3 linked regions of the Ovis aries genome follow. The protein of the gene in region 1 interacts with the protein of each later gene in a pairwise test. Links are inferred from orthologs where the notes say so. Each region holds a gene or a part of one and is shown in the gene's direction. Other genes may lie near its edges.

Region 1 (4,163 bases):
ATATTAAATAGCAGCACCACTAGGGACTGCAGTGGGAAAGAGGTTTCCTGGACTAAAGTCACCTCCCTCCACTTTCAACTTTACTTGGTGTCTGTCTTCTGTTTTGTGTTCGTGGTAAATCCTGATGTATCTCTGTTTCTTTAGGCCACCTCAGCACCTTCTGAGGAATTAAGCTATCTGGATAGGCAGAGATGCAGATTCATACCTTTGCTGTCAGCGGGCTCAGGTGTCAAGGTCATTTTCACTTCTGAGACATTTTCAAAAGATCACAGACAATTTTCTCAGCGACTAGTCAGAGAGATGAGAAAGAGCTGGAAGGTGAGGCAAGAAACCACGGGTGATGTTTGAGCAACGAGGTTGGAGCCCCTTTTACATGTTTTTCATTGTATTTTATTTTCCTAATTGCTTTAATGGGCATGTGGTACTGCAAAATAAAGTGAAATTGTTTTCCTCAGTTGATGCAATTTACTGGGAGACAGTGTGATCCTATAACACAGGGACTCCTCAAATCCATTGATATTGGGATGGAGGGAGGGGTTTCTTTTTAAGCCTTTATTTCGAACGATGTTTTCACTAATGAATACAAAGCCTATAAAGGGAAAAACCCATGTTTCTTCACAACCGGGTTTCACAACAGCTATTAGATGACCACAGCATCATCAAAGAGTGGAAAATGTGGGGGGGAAGGGCACAGGGGCTTCAAGAGTTGCAATTTACCAAGGAAATTGACCCTGACACCCAAATCCACAGGGTAAAAGTGGTGCCGTGAACCTGGGAAAAGTCCAGGCCTCGTTCAGGCTTGCACCCATTTCTTCTGATCCCAGATGCAGAGGGGGCCCTGGCTCCGGGTTGCCCAACGTCGGCTGTGAGTTCCAAGCAGAGGCTCAGAGTCCCAGTCTGCAGGGTGGCTCCAAGGAGCCCCACACAGTGGAGTCCCGGCATCCAGGGGGGCGGAGGGCGCTGGTGCCTGCTCACAGAAGAAAAGGCCAAGGCCACAGACCTGAGTGCCTCCCCGGCAGTGGGGAGCACATGGCTGGCTCAGGTTGGGGTCTAGAGGAAGCCCTGAGTCTGTGGGACTGCATGTTGAGCTAGAGGCCGCCAGGGTCTCAGAACACTAGGCAGGTCTGGGTGCAGGGCCCGCGGATCCTGTTGTGCCCGCCCCGCCCGGCCCGCTCCGTCCCGCCCCTCTCCCAGCCCAGCCCCGCCCCACCATCCCCTCTCCCAGCCCAGCCCCCTTCCGCCCTCCTCTCACTTCCCCCTCCTCCAATCCCACCTCTTGGGGGCGCCCACGCGCCCTCCGACTATAAAGCATCGAGGTTCTGCAGCCCGTGGACCAGCGAGAAGCCTCGAGCGGCTCCTGCACTTGCTTCCAGACCCCTCGAGGCACCATGGCCGAGGGCCCGTTCTTTATGGCGGACACACCCATTCATCCGGACCACCTGAGGATGTGGGAAAAGGCTGTGTATGTGGACGAGAACCGGCGCACCTGGCTGCCCATAACCCTCAAGGTACAGCCGCTGTGGGGCCAGGCGTGCAGGGCAGCATGGATGGCCCACCCATGGCCCGGGGTCTGGACCCGGACGCCCCAGGTCGTGCAGGCCCTAGAGGACACCCTCAGATGCCACAGGGCGAGGGCAGCGGCGGGGAGACTCAGAAGGGCAGGTCCACTCAGGGCGGCCAGGACACACAGATGAAACCACTCTGAGCTGGGCTCAAGGATGAGAGGTTCTCCAGGCCAGGAGAGGAGGGTAGGAGAAACACAGAGCCAAAGGATGGGGACCCAGTATGTCTGGAGTGTATGAATATGATCTCGAGTAAAATAGGATTTCTCTGGATCTCAAGGACCTAATCCATAAAATGGGAATAATCTTTTGTCCGAAGTGATTTGGGTTTCCCTGGTGGCTCAGGCGGTAAAGAATCTGCCTGCAATGTGGGCTACCCAAGTTGGATTACTGGGTTGGGAAGATCCCCTGGAGAAGGAAATGGCAACCCACTCCAGTATTCTTGCCTGGGAAATCCCATGACCAGAGGAGCCTGGCAGTCTACAGTCCGTGGGTTAGGAAGAGTTGGACATGACTGAACAACTAACATGAGAAAGTGATTACCGCCCTTGGCAGATTATCAGAATCTCCATAGGTGAAACCCAGAAATCTGTATTTTGAAAGGACCCTCCACAAATTAAGATCAGCCAAGTTTGGGAACCACTGCAGTAGAATTTGGGGTATTTCCTACCTCCTCAAGTCTTTGAAAGAAAGAAATTTCACATGGCATAAAGCAGTACGGAACAGACACTGACTTTGTTTTATGTGTGATGCCTTAAGACCTTAAGATGGATCTTTAGTTAATACTAACTTCTTTTTTTTTTTAAGAAGTACAGCTCTCTTACAAGCACTTTCCATCAGAGCATGGGTTTCCTCAAAGAAACTTAGGTGAAAACAGTTGAAACTTTCCATATATAAACCGAAGAAAGAATATATAAAAGTATAATTGTCATTAGAACATTTATGGAATAGTAAAATTGCAAAAAGTTACTGAGAATGCTTGTTTTCCCATTTTATAGGTGAGGAAATAGAGGCATAAAAATGGACATTTGTTCAAAGTAGTACTGTTTGTAGGCTAATGGGGTTGGGATTCCAGTGCAGCATCATCTAAAATATAACCACCATCTAAAATTTGCATCTTTATTGTCCTTTAAGATTTTGAAATATATATACTTTTAAAAATTGAGTTAAATATTCACGTTAAGCCAAGCATTTGAGGAAAATGTAAGTGAATATCTTTTTTTAATCTTTGGTTGGGGCATATCTTCTTAAACATGATGCTGAAACTGCGAAGCAGAGTTTGTCACATAATCATTATAAATTCTGGACAAAGCCATTTAGCAAACCATGGGATAGAATTTTCTCCACATAATTTCAAAGAACTAGTATTCTTCATCTGAAAAGATTTATGTAAGTCAGCAACAAAAAGGTGAATAAGCAAATTTCAAATGGTTCAAGGATATGGAAAGCCATATCCTAACATGGCAAGAAGGGTGATTTCCACCCTTGCACTTTGCAAGATATCCTGAATTGTTTTTTAATGATGAATTCTAACTTACTTCATAGATAAAACTTGAAAAGCCGTTTCCACTTTGGAAAAATAATCATTGAACAAAGTGTCCTGTTGATATGCCAAAAATTCTAGGTTGTGGGGATTTGCAGTGGGTGGGATTAAATCCCACTGCTTGTGAAGCTGATATTTCTACTCAGGGAGAGGGACAGCACAGTAGGTGAGGCAGGTGGGAAGTTGTGTAGGATAACTCCAGTGGGATAGCAGGCAGGAACCAGTGGCCTGGGGTCTTCATGCAGGTCGTCTCCAGAATCTTCTTTTGCATGTACCTGAAAATTGCCCATCATTTTCTCTGAAACCTTTTTGTACATCGGTTTGGGCACGCCCCTTATGGATATCATAGAGTTGGATTCTTCTGGCATTTGTTTTTATAGATAAACATTCATTCGAACCAAGATCTGCCTTTAAAAAGGATGTGAGTCCTGCATGGGTTTAGGGGAGAATGTTCCAGGCAGAGGACAGCACGTAGGAGTGATTTCTACTTGGAGTGTGTGTGTCCAGAGATGGTGAGGAGGTCAGTGTGGCTGGAGTGGATGGAGGAACCAGGATGGAACAGTAGGTGGTGAGAGGTGAAAGAGGAGGTGAGAGAGGCAGGGACCTGGCTCAGCAGCCCTGTGGGCCACGGTGAAGAGTCCAGTTCACCTGCCTGCGATTGGAAGCTGTCGAAGGGCATCCAGCAGGGAAGAGACAAGATTTTTAGACAGGCACCCTGGCTCCGGGGCTGAGACTTGGCTGTGGGTCACAGGACCAACTAGGCGGTAGGCTGGGCAGTTGTCTCTGTAGTCTAGTGAGAGGCAGTGAAACAAGGACTGCGGTGGAGATGCTGTTACCTGATTCCAGGGTCTGGGCAGATCTTGTTTCAAAGGGGATGCATGATAATGAATAATCAAAGAAAATCCCACATCAGCTGAAACGGACCCCAGACGCCATGATTACAGAAGCCCCAGGGCCCCGTGGCATTCCCTAGCAACTAGGCACTGGTCACGAGGTGGACCTTCTGAGGTCTCGTCTGGGTATCTAGACCCATTCAAGTGCTGCTCATCCCGGCCCAG
Region 2 (2,605 bases), on another chromosome or scaffold:
ACTCCTGTCTATTCTTTGACATTTATTCACTCACATCCAATGCACTCAAAATATATTCATTGAGTGTCTACTACTAGTCACTGTGATAGATACTAAGGATAAAGTGGTGAACAAGACAGACATGGTCTCTGCTTCTGTGGAGTTTAAAATTTAGCAAGAGAGATAGTCCTTAGTAATCACAGTAATGAATGTGCTCAGTAGCTCAGTCGTGTCCAACTCTTTGCAGCTGCATGTAGCCCGCCAGGCTCCTCTGTCTATGGGATTCTCCAGGCAAGAATACTGAAGTGGATAGCCATTCCTTTCTCCAGGGGATCTTCCCCACCCAGGGACTGAACCCGGGTTTCCTGCATTGGTGGGCAGGTTCTTTACCATCTGAGCCACCAGGGAAGCACCCATGACTTAGTACAGCAGGGATACTAAGGCAGACATGTGGACTCCTTTGTTGGACAACTTTGGCTCAAGGTCTTGCAGAAGTTTCCTTAGACTGCCTGGTAGTCTCAACTGCTTCCATACATCCTTTTCTCTTCTTTCCCTCCTTACCAGTCAGGCTTCACTCACAGCTCCTTCTCTATTTTCTTTTTTTTTAAATATAAATTTATTTATTTTAATTGGAGGTTAATTACTTTCATACAGTCATTTCTCCTAATAAAATCTTGCCGTGTTTAATCTTGTTTTGACAAGAGCTTCTTGGAGGTGTAGAATAACATAAGTAGAGTGGGTATTTGAGATTCAGGAAACAGTGTTTACTTCCTAGGCCTAGATCTGAGTCACATGACTTGGTAAGAAAACCCAAAGCTGTGAGACTTCAAGAAAACTTAATGTTTGGTAGCTGTATATGCATGACCAGGTTATCAGGAATAATAAAGTCAAAAGGGGTGAGGAGGAAGATGCTGGGGCACTGGCTGCAAGCCCTGTCGTTGCCTTCTGCCATCCAAAAGCTGGGGAAAGATCTCTGAGTGTCTTGGGGAAGCTAGTATTTTCATTCGGCACCATCTTACGTGGCTGGCTCTGGTTTGTCGGCCTGGCTCCAGATGTCATTCTTTTCCTCCATGATTACCAAGTGGTTGCTACATCATCACGTGAGAAAATACTGGGTAACGCAGTAGAGAATTTGGGATCCAGGCTTTACTTCTTTCCTAAAGATGATCTCATTTGGTCAAGGTCTGTCTTCCAACTTCCAAAAATCTCATTTTTCTTGGTTTCAGCTTTTCCACAAGTTCTTTGCTATGTCTTTTGTCTTTGTAAACATGAAATGTTTTATTTTCTTCACTCAATTAAAATGCGTTTTGTGGGGACTTCCCTGGTGGTCCAGTGGTTAAGAAAGACTTCACCTTCCATTGCAGGGAATATGGGTTAGATCCCTGGTCAGGGAGCTAAGATCCCACATGCCTTGTAGCCAAAAAAACATAAAACAGAAGCAATATTTTAACAAATAAAGACTTTAAAAACGGTCCACATTAAAAACAAAACTTAAGAGGGTTTGAAAGATGGCGGACGACGTGGACCAGCAACAAACCACCAACACTGTGGAAGAGCCCTTGGATCTCATCCGGCTCAGCCTGGACGAGCGCATCTACGTGAAGATGAGAAACGACAGAGAACTTCGAGGCCGGTTACACGCTTATGATCAACATTTAAATATGATATTGGGAGATGTGGAAGAAACTGTGACAACTATAGAAATTGATGAAGAAACATATGAAGAAATATATAAATCAACAAAACGGAATATTCCGATGCTCTTTGTGCGGGGAGACGGCGTTGTGCTGGTTGCCCCGCCATTGAGAGTTGGCTGAAACGAGAATCCGCCGCCTGTGGGAGACGGGCTGTGCTGTGCGGTGGCCTCTTTGAGTGTGGAAGATGTTCCAAAGAGAGACCGATGTGCATCTTGATGCTGAAAATAAGCAAGAATTCTTCCACTCCTGAAATAAGTTGATTTGTAGATAACTCACAAATACTTCAGCTAAACGGCATTTTTATTTTTCTCCAACCCTTCCAATAAATGTGATCGGCGCGATACAGAAAAAAAAAAATAAATAAAAAAATAAAAAATAAAAAAAATAAAAAAAAATAAAAAATAAAAACAAAACTTAAAAAAATATTCATATGTTTTCAGCTCTTCCTTTCTTTTGAATTCTTTTTTTTTTTTTTTTTGGTGGGGAGAAGTACAGTTGCTTTACAATGTTGTGTTAGTTTCTGCTGTACAACAAAGTGAATCAGCTATATAGCTCTCTTCTTTCCTTAATATTTATTTATTTGTTTGTTTGCCCTGGGTCTTAGCTATGGCACACAGGATCTTCAATTTTGTTGCGACATGTGGGTTCTTTTAGTTGTGACATGTAGGATCTAATTCCCTGAATGGGGATTGAACCCCAACCCCCTGCATTGGGAGCCATGTGTCTTAGCCACTGGACCACCCAAGAAGTCCCACAGCTCTCTTCTTGAAGAGGCAGGTGTGTGTTCTGAAAAGAATGGGAATGGAGATGGAATCTCGACTCTACCACTTCCTACATGTGAGACTTCGTGGAAGTTAATTTTATGAGCCTTGATTTTCTTGTTTATAAAATGTAGATAACACCACCTACCTCCCAGGATAGTTGTGAGG
Region 3 (4,331 bases), on another chromosome or scaffold:
CCACCATTGCTTTTCCATTCTTACTGCAAATGTCAACATTATGAAAAAGGTAAATGATGTCATGATAGTATGAAAATACAGTTTTGTTTTTAAATTTACTTATTTGGCTGCATTGGGTCTCTGTTGCAGCAGGGAAGATCTTCATTTCCTCATGCGGTATCTGTCATTGTTACGCTAGCACTCCAGAGTAGGCAGCCTTCAGTGGTTGCAGTGCACAGACTCTGTGGTATGCGGGTTTAGTTGCTCTGTGCCATGACGGATTTTTAGCTTCCCAATCAGGTATGGAACCTGTGTCCCCTGCATTTCAAGGCGTATTCTAACCCACAGAGAAGTCCCCCAAATACTTCTGACTCTGAAAGGATCTTGAGGACTCTCAGGGGTCTGAGGCTCATCTTTGGAGAATCATTGTTTCCCATCAGTGGTTCTCAATGAGGCTGAGGAGGGGAGAGGGGGATCCATCTTTCTTCCAGGGACTTTGGGCAACTTCTGGAGACATTTTTGGTTGTCACCACTGGTGGGGTGGTAGTGGATGCTAATGGCATCTTGCTGCTGCTGCTAAGTCGCTTCAATCGTGTCCGACTCTGTGCGACCCCAGAGACGGCAGCTCACCAGGCTCCGCCGTCCCTGGGATTCTCCAGGCAAGAACACTGGAGTGGGTTGCCATTTCCTTCAATGCATGAAAGTGAAAAGTGAAAGTGAAGTCGCTCAGTCCTGCCTGACTCTTAGCGACCCCATGGACTGCAGCCTCCCAGGCTCCTCCGTCCATGAGATTTTCCAGGCAAGAGTACTGGAGTGGGGTGCCACTGCCTTCTCCGAATGGCATCTAGTGCCCAGGGATACTGCTGAACACCCTGCTGCGCCCAGGAGAGTCACCCCCCACCCCCACGCTCCCGCGGTCTCAAATAATCCAGTTGGAAACGTTACACCCTTGAGGTTGAGAAAACTTGGTTTACAAAACTGAAACCACAACACTGAGAACAATCTCAATTTTTCAATTTCCTACACACTTCCCTGTGTTACACTTTCCCACTTTATTTTTCAAAACAGCTACTTTCGGGTCATAGTTCTTTCTTCTTTAGAGACGCTGCATCCAACTTTTTGGCCCCCTCGGCCGCCCTCCCCCGCCGACCCCTCCCCCCCGGTTGAGCTACGGCCCTCCCTGGTCCTCTCCCCACCCTCATATACTTTTATAGTTGGGTTTGCCTCTGTCCTCAGCACTTGGCTGATCTCAACTAGGTTGTAAATTCCTTCAGGGAGGGCCGCATATCAATGCTCTCGATTTCCCCCAAAGTCGTTTTCCGCCCTCTACCTGCTGACTGGATTGGCCTCGCGATACCACCAGCGAAGTCCTCTCCACGCGCACTCAGCCCGCGCAGACGCAGTTTCCGTCGCTCCCGAGCTGTGGGCACCAGCGCTCCGATGCTCTCGTCTGCCGCTAGAGGGCGCGCCCAGTCCGAGCGGCCCGGACTACCAGCCTCGGAGGGTAATAATGGGGTGGGGGCGGCCGCCGTGACTTCTGGGACTTGTAGTCCCAGGGAAAGGATTGCGGATGAAAGGCACTGAGTCGCCTCTTCCCAGCTCGCTGCTCCGGAAGGTTCGGACGCCCTAGGTCGACCAACCTCCTATCTTGGAAGACCCGGCATCTACGGCAAGCGGGAAGGAGGTGGGCACGATAGTTTCCGTTTCCGGTGGGTAAAGGGCAAGCGGAATGTAAACAGGGGACCCGGGGAGTGGCCTTCGGGTAACACAGGCTACGGGTCAGTGGTGGAAGTCGGCGGAAGTTGGGGGAAAACGAGGCGGGTGGGTCTTGGGGTGACTGGAGTAAGAAGCTTCAGAAGTCGGAGTTGAGGCCCACCGCGGGTGTAGCAGAGCCAGGACGCTAAGGTTGGTCTTTAGGGACCAGCAGTTTTGGGGTTCAGGCCCTTACCTGGTGCTCGCGCCCCTGGCGGGAGGAGCGGAAGGTAGCTGACTTTGCACCCCGGGGATGGGGCCCGTGTCTGGGGCGGGACTCTGAGCTCGCGGGTGACGTCCTGGGCAGCCCTTGTGAACTTCGCAGTTTTTTTGTGTACGTGTTTGTGTGTTCAAAATGAGGGGAAGTCGCTAGAACTGGTTTCTTTCTTGCGGGAACGTGTTTCGGGTAAATCGTTTCTTGCGGAATCCCTCACCTCCGAATACATCCATATACGCAGAAGGATGCTGTTTTGCTTCCTTATTTGTGTTCTTCAGTTTCCTCGCCTTCGTTGCTTCACTTTCCGACGCAGTGAAGAGAAGCATTCTCTAGCTTGTGGCAGGGTAAATTGTCTGTGTTATTCTTGTTCCCACACTATGTTGGTTTCCCTGGTGGCTCAGTGGTAAAGAATCCGTCTGCAATGCAGGAGACCAGGGTTCGATCCCAGGGTCAGGAAGATCCCCTGGAGAAGGGAATGGCAACCCACTCCAGTATTTTGCCTAGAGAATCCCGATGGACAGAGGAGCCTGGCGGGCTGCAGTCTATGGGGTCGCAAAGAGTCGCACACGACTGAATGGCTAACACACACTGTTTCGTCTCTCACATTGCCTATTTGGAAACTTGAAGCCAGAAAACTTAATCATCCTCATTCTTGTCACCTTTAGGGACAGTGGTAAATGCAAGGCTTCTTAACATGACTTATTCTAATATCTTGTGAGAGCTTTCTAACGATCCATTCTTATATTCTCTTTCTGTACTTCTGGACTTAGGTTCCATAGTAAACACACTTATATTTCAGGCTTTTTGTTGTTGTTGTTCTTTCCCTATGTTACTTGCAGTAATCTTCAAACATAGGAAACTCATTCTCCCCTATTACCATGGGTCTGGGAAGAGGATTTGGCTTTGTCCTCATTCCCTAGTATAGTTTATAATCCATTACTCCTGCAGGCTTTTCTAAAAATCTCTGCTCCTATGGAAAGCGTGTGGTTTACCCCTGTCAGCCTATCCATTCTTTTTTGGTTTGCTTTGGGGTTGTGTTTTTTTGGCCTCCCTTCTCTGCAGGTGAGGTCCTAGTTCCCCAACTAGGGATAGATCCCATGCCCCCTGCAGTGGAAGCATGCAGTCCCAATCACTGGACCCCCAGGGAAGTCCCACGCAGTACATTTCTTGATTGCTGTAGTTTATTGACACTTCATTAAGAACTTAGGCACATGATCCACGATTTTCTTACCTCTCCAAAATCTGCCATTGCCTTGGGCCTTTCCATGTTAGTGACCTCATAGCCACCCACACTTTCTTTTGGTCTCTTTCATCCTAGCGGTTACTTCTACTTTATTTCAGTGTGCATTGGTGATGACGAGCTTGGTAGCTGCTGGAACTTACTATTTCATTACTTTCCATTATTACTCCCACGATGCCCATTCTTTGATAGTCGTGTGTAGACCTCTGGTCCATTGCTTTTCCTTATCCCAATAGTTGATCAGTCAGTTGATACTCTCTTTGGGGTTGTAGGCTCCTTTAAGAATGGAATGAAAGCATAGAGACTCTTGTGCAGGGTACAAACATATAAAAATTCATTTACAATTCCAAAGGTTTCTCAGTATCTATAAACCTATCCATGTAACTAGCAAGAGTTCTTGATCCCTCAGTAAATCCCTTCTCGAAATAAATACTTGTTGAATTCTTCTAGGGTTTTCTTTAACTTTGTTCCATCAATTATGCTTGCTCACTCAGCCCTTATATTTTGTATTATTATTGCAGTTTTACAAAGCAGTTTAACATTTGTTATCATTCTGATTAACCATATAGTTCTGTGAATTAAATCATTTACCAGTTTTGAATCTTTCAGAAACTTTTTATGATGGAAAATTTCAAACATATATGCTAAGAGAGAAGTACAAAGATTCCATATACTCGTCACCTAACTTGATCACTTATCAACTCAGCAATCTTTTAATATGTGTATCTTATATCATATTCATCATTACTTTGAAACAATTCCTAGATACTGTGTAATTTCATGTAAAATGTATTAATATGTATTCCCAAAAGATGAGCATACTTTTTGTCAACATAATACTCTTATACCTGAAGAAGCAGGAATTTCTTAATATCATCAAATATGAAGGCATTGTTCTGATCCCCCATATTATTTCTTAAATTTTTCCTCCCCATTGGCTTGTTTGATTCTGTAACTAAACAAGATCCACACATTGTGTTTGGTTTTGTTTCTTAAGTCTCTCTTAATCTAGGGGGTACCTCCTAACTTTTCCTTTTTTCTTGAAGAAACCAGTTTTATTTTTCCTTAGTTTCTGTTCCTTGTTGTCTTGTCTCAGGCATGTTATTTAACATACTCCTCTGTATCCCTTATTTCTTATAAACC

The links. The genes of interacting proteins can lie anywhere in the genome.
Region 2: the proteins of TCL1A (region 1) and U6 snRNA-associated Sm-like protein LSm3 interact in binary tests that used the Homo sapiens proteins (3 or more experiments, as listed by UniProt). The two-hybrid records come from large-scale screens. The link is inferred for Ovis aries from reciprocal best matches to the Homo sapiens genes TCL1A and LSM3.
Region 3: the proteins of TCL1A (region 1) and TTC33 interact in binary tests that used the Homo sapiens proteins (3 or more experiments, as listed by UniProt). The two-hybrid records come from large-scale screens. The link is inferred for Ovis aries from reciprocal best matches to the Homo sapiens genes TCL1A and TTC33.

What each region holds. Positions count from the first base shown.
Region 1 is NC_056071.1:58,269,266-58,273,428, reverse strand, and holds the start of TCL1A (T-cell leukemia/lymphoma protein 1A), read left to right. Parts: upstream 1-1,303; 5' UTR 1,304-1,388; coding exon 1,389-1,508; intron 1,509-4,163. UniProt on the Homo sapiens protein: Enhances the phosphorylation and activation of AKT1, AKT2 and AKT3. Promotes nuclear translocation of AKT1. Enhances cell proliferation, stabilizes mitochondrial membrane potential and promotes cell survival.
Region 2 is NC_056080.1:116,710,483-116,713,087, forward strand, and holds U6 snRNA-associated Sm-like protein LSm3, read left to right. Parts: upstream 1-1,474; 5' UTR 1,475-1,487; coding exon 1,488-1,796; 3' UTR 1,797-2,099; downstream 2,100-2,605. UniProt on the Homo sapiens protein: Plays a role in pre-mRNA splicing as component of the U4/U6-U5 tri-snRNP complex that is involved in spliceosome assembly, and as component of the precatalytic spliceosome (spliceosome B complex).
Region 3 is NC_056069.1:33,889,407-33,893,737, forward strand, and holds the start of TTC33 (tetratricopeptide repeat protein 33), read left to right. Parts: upstream 1-1,525; 5' UTR 1,526-1,688; intron 1,689-1,701; exon of another isoform or gene 1,702-1,884; intron 1,885-4,331.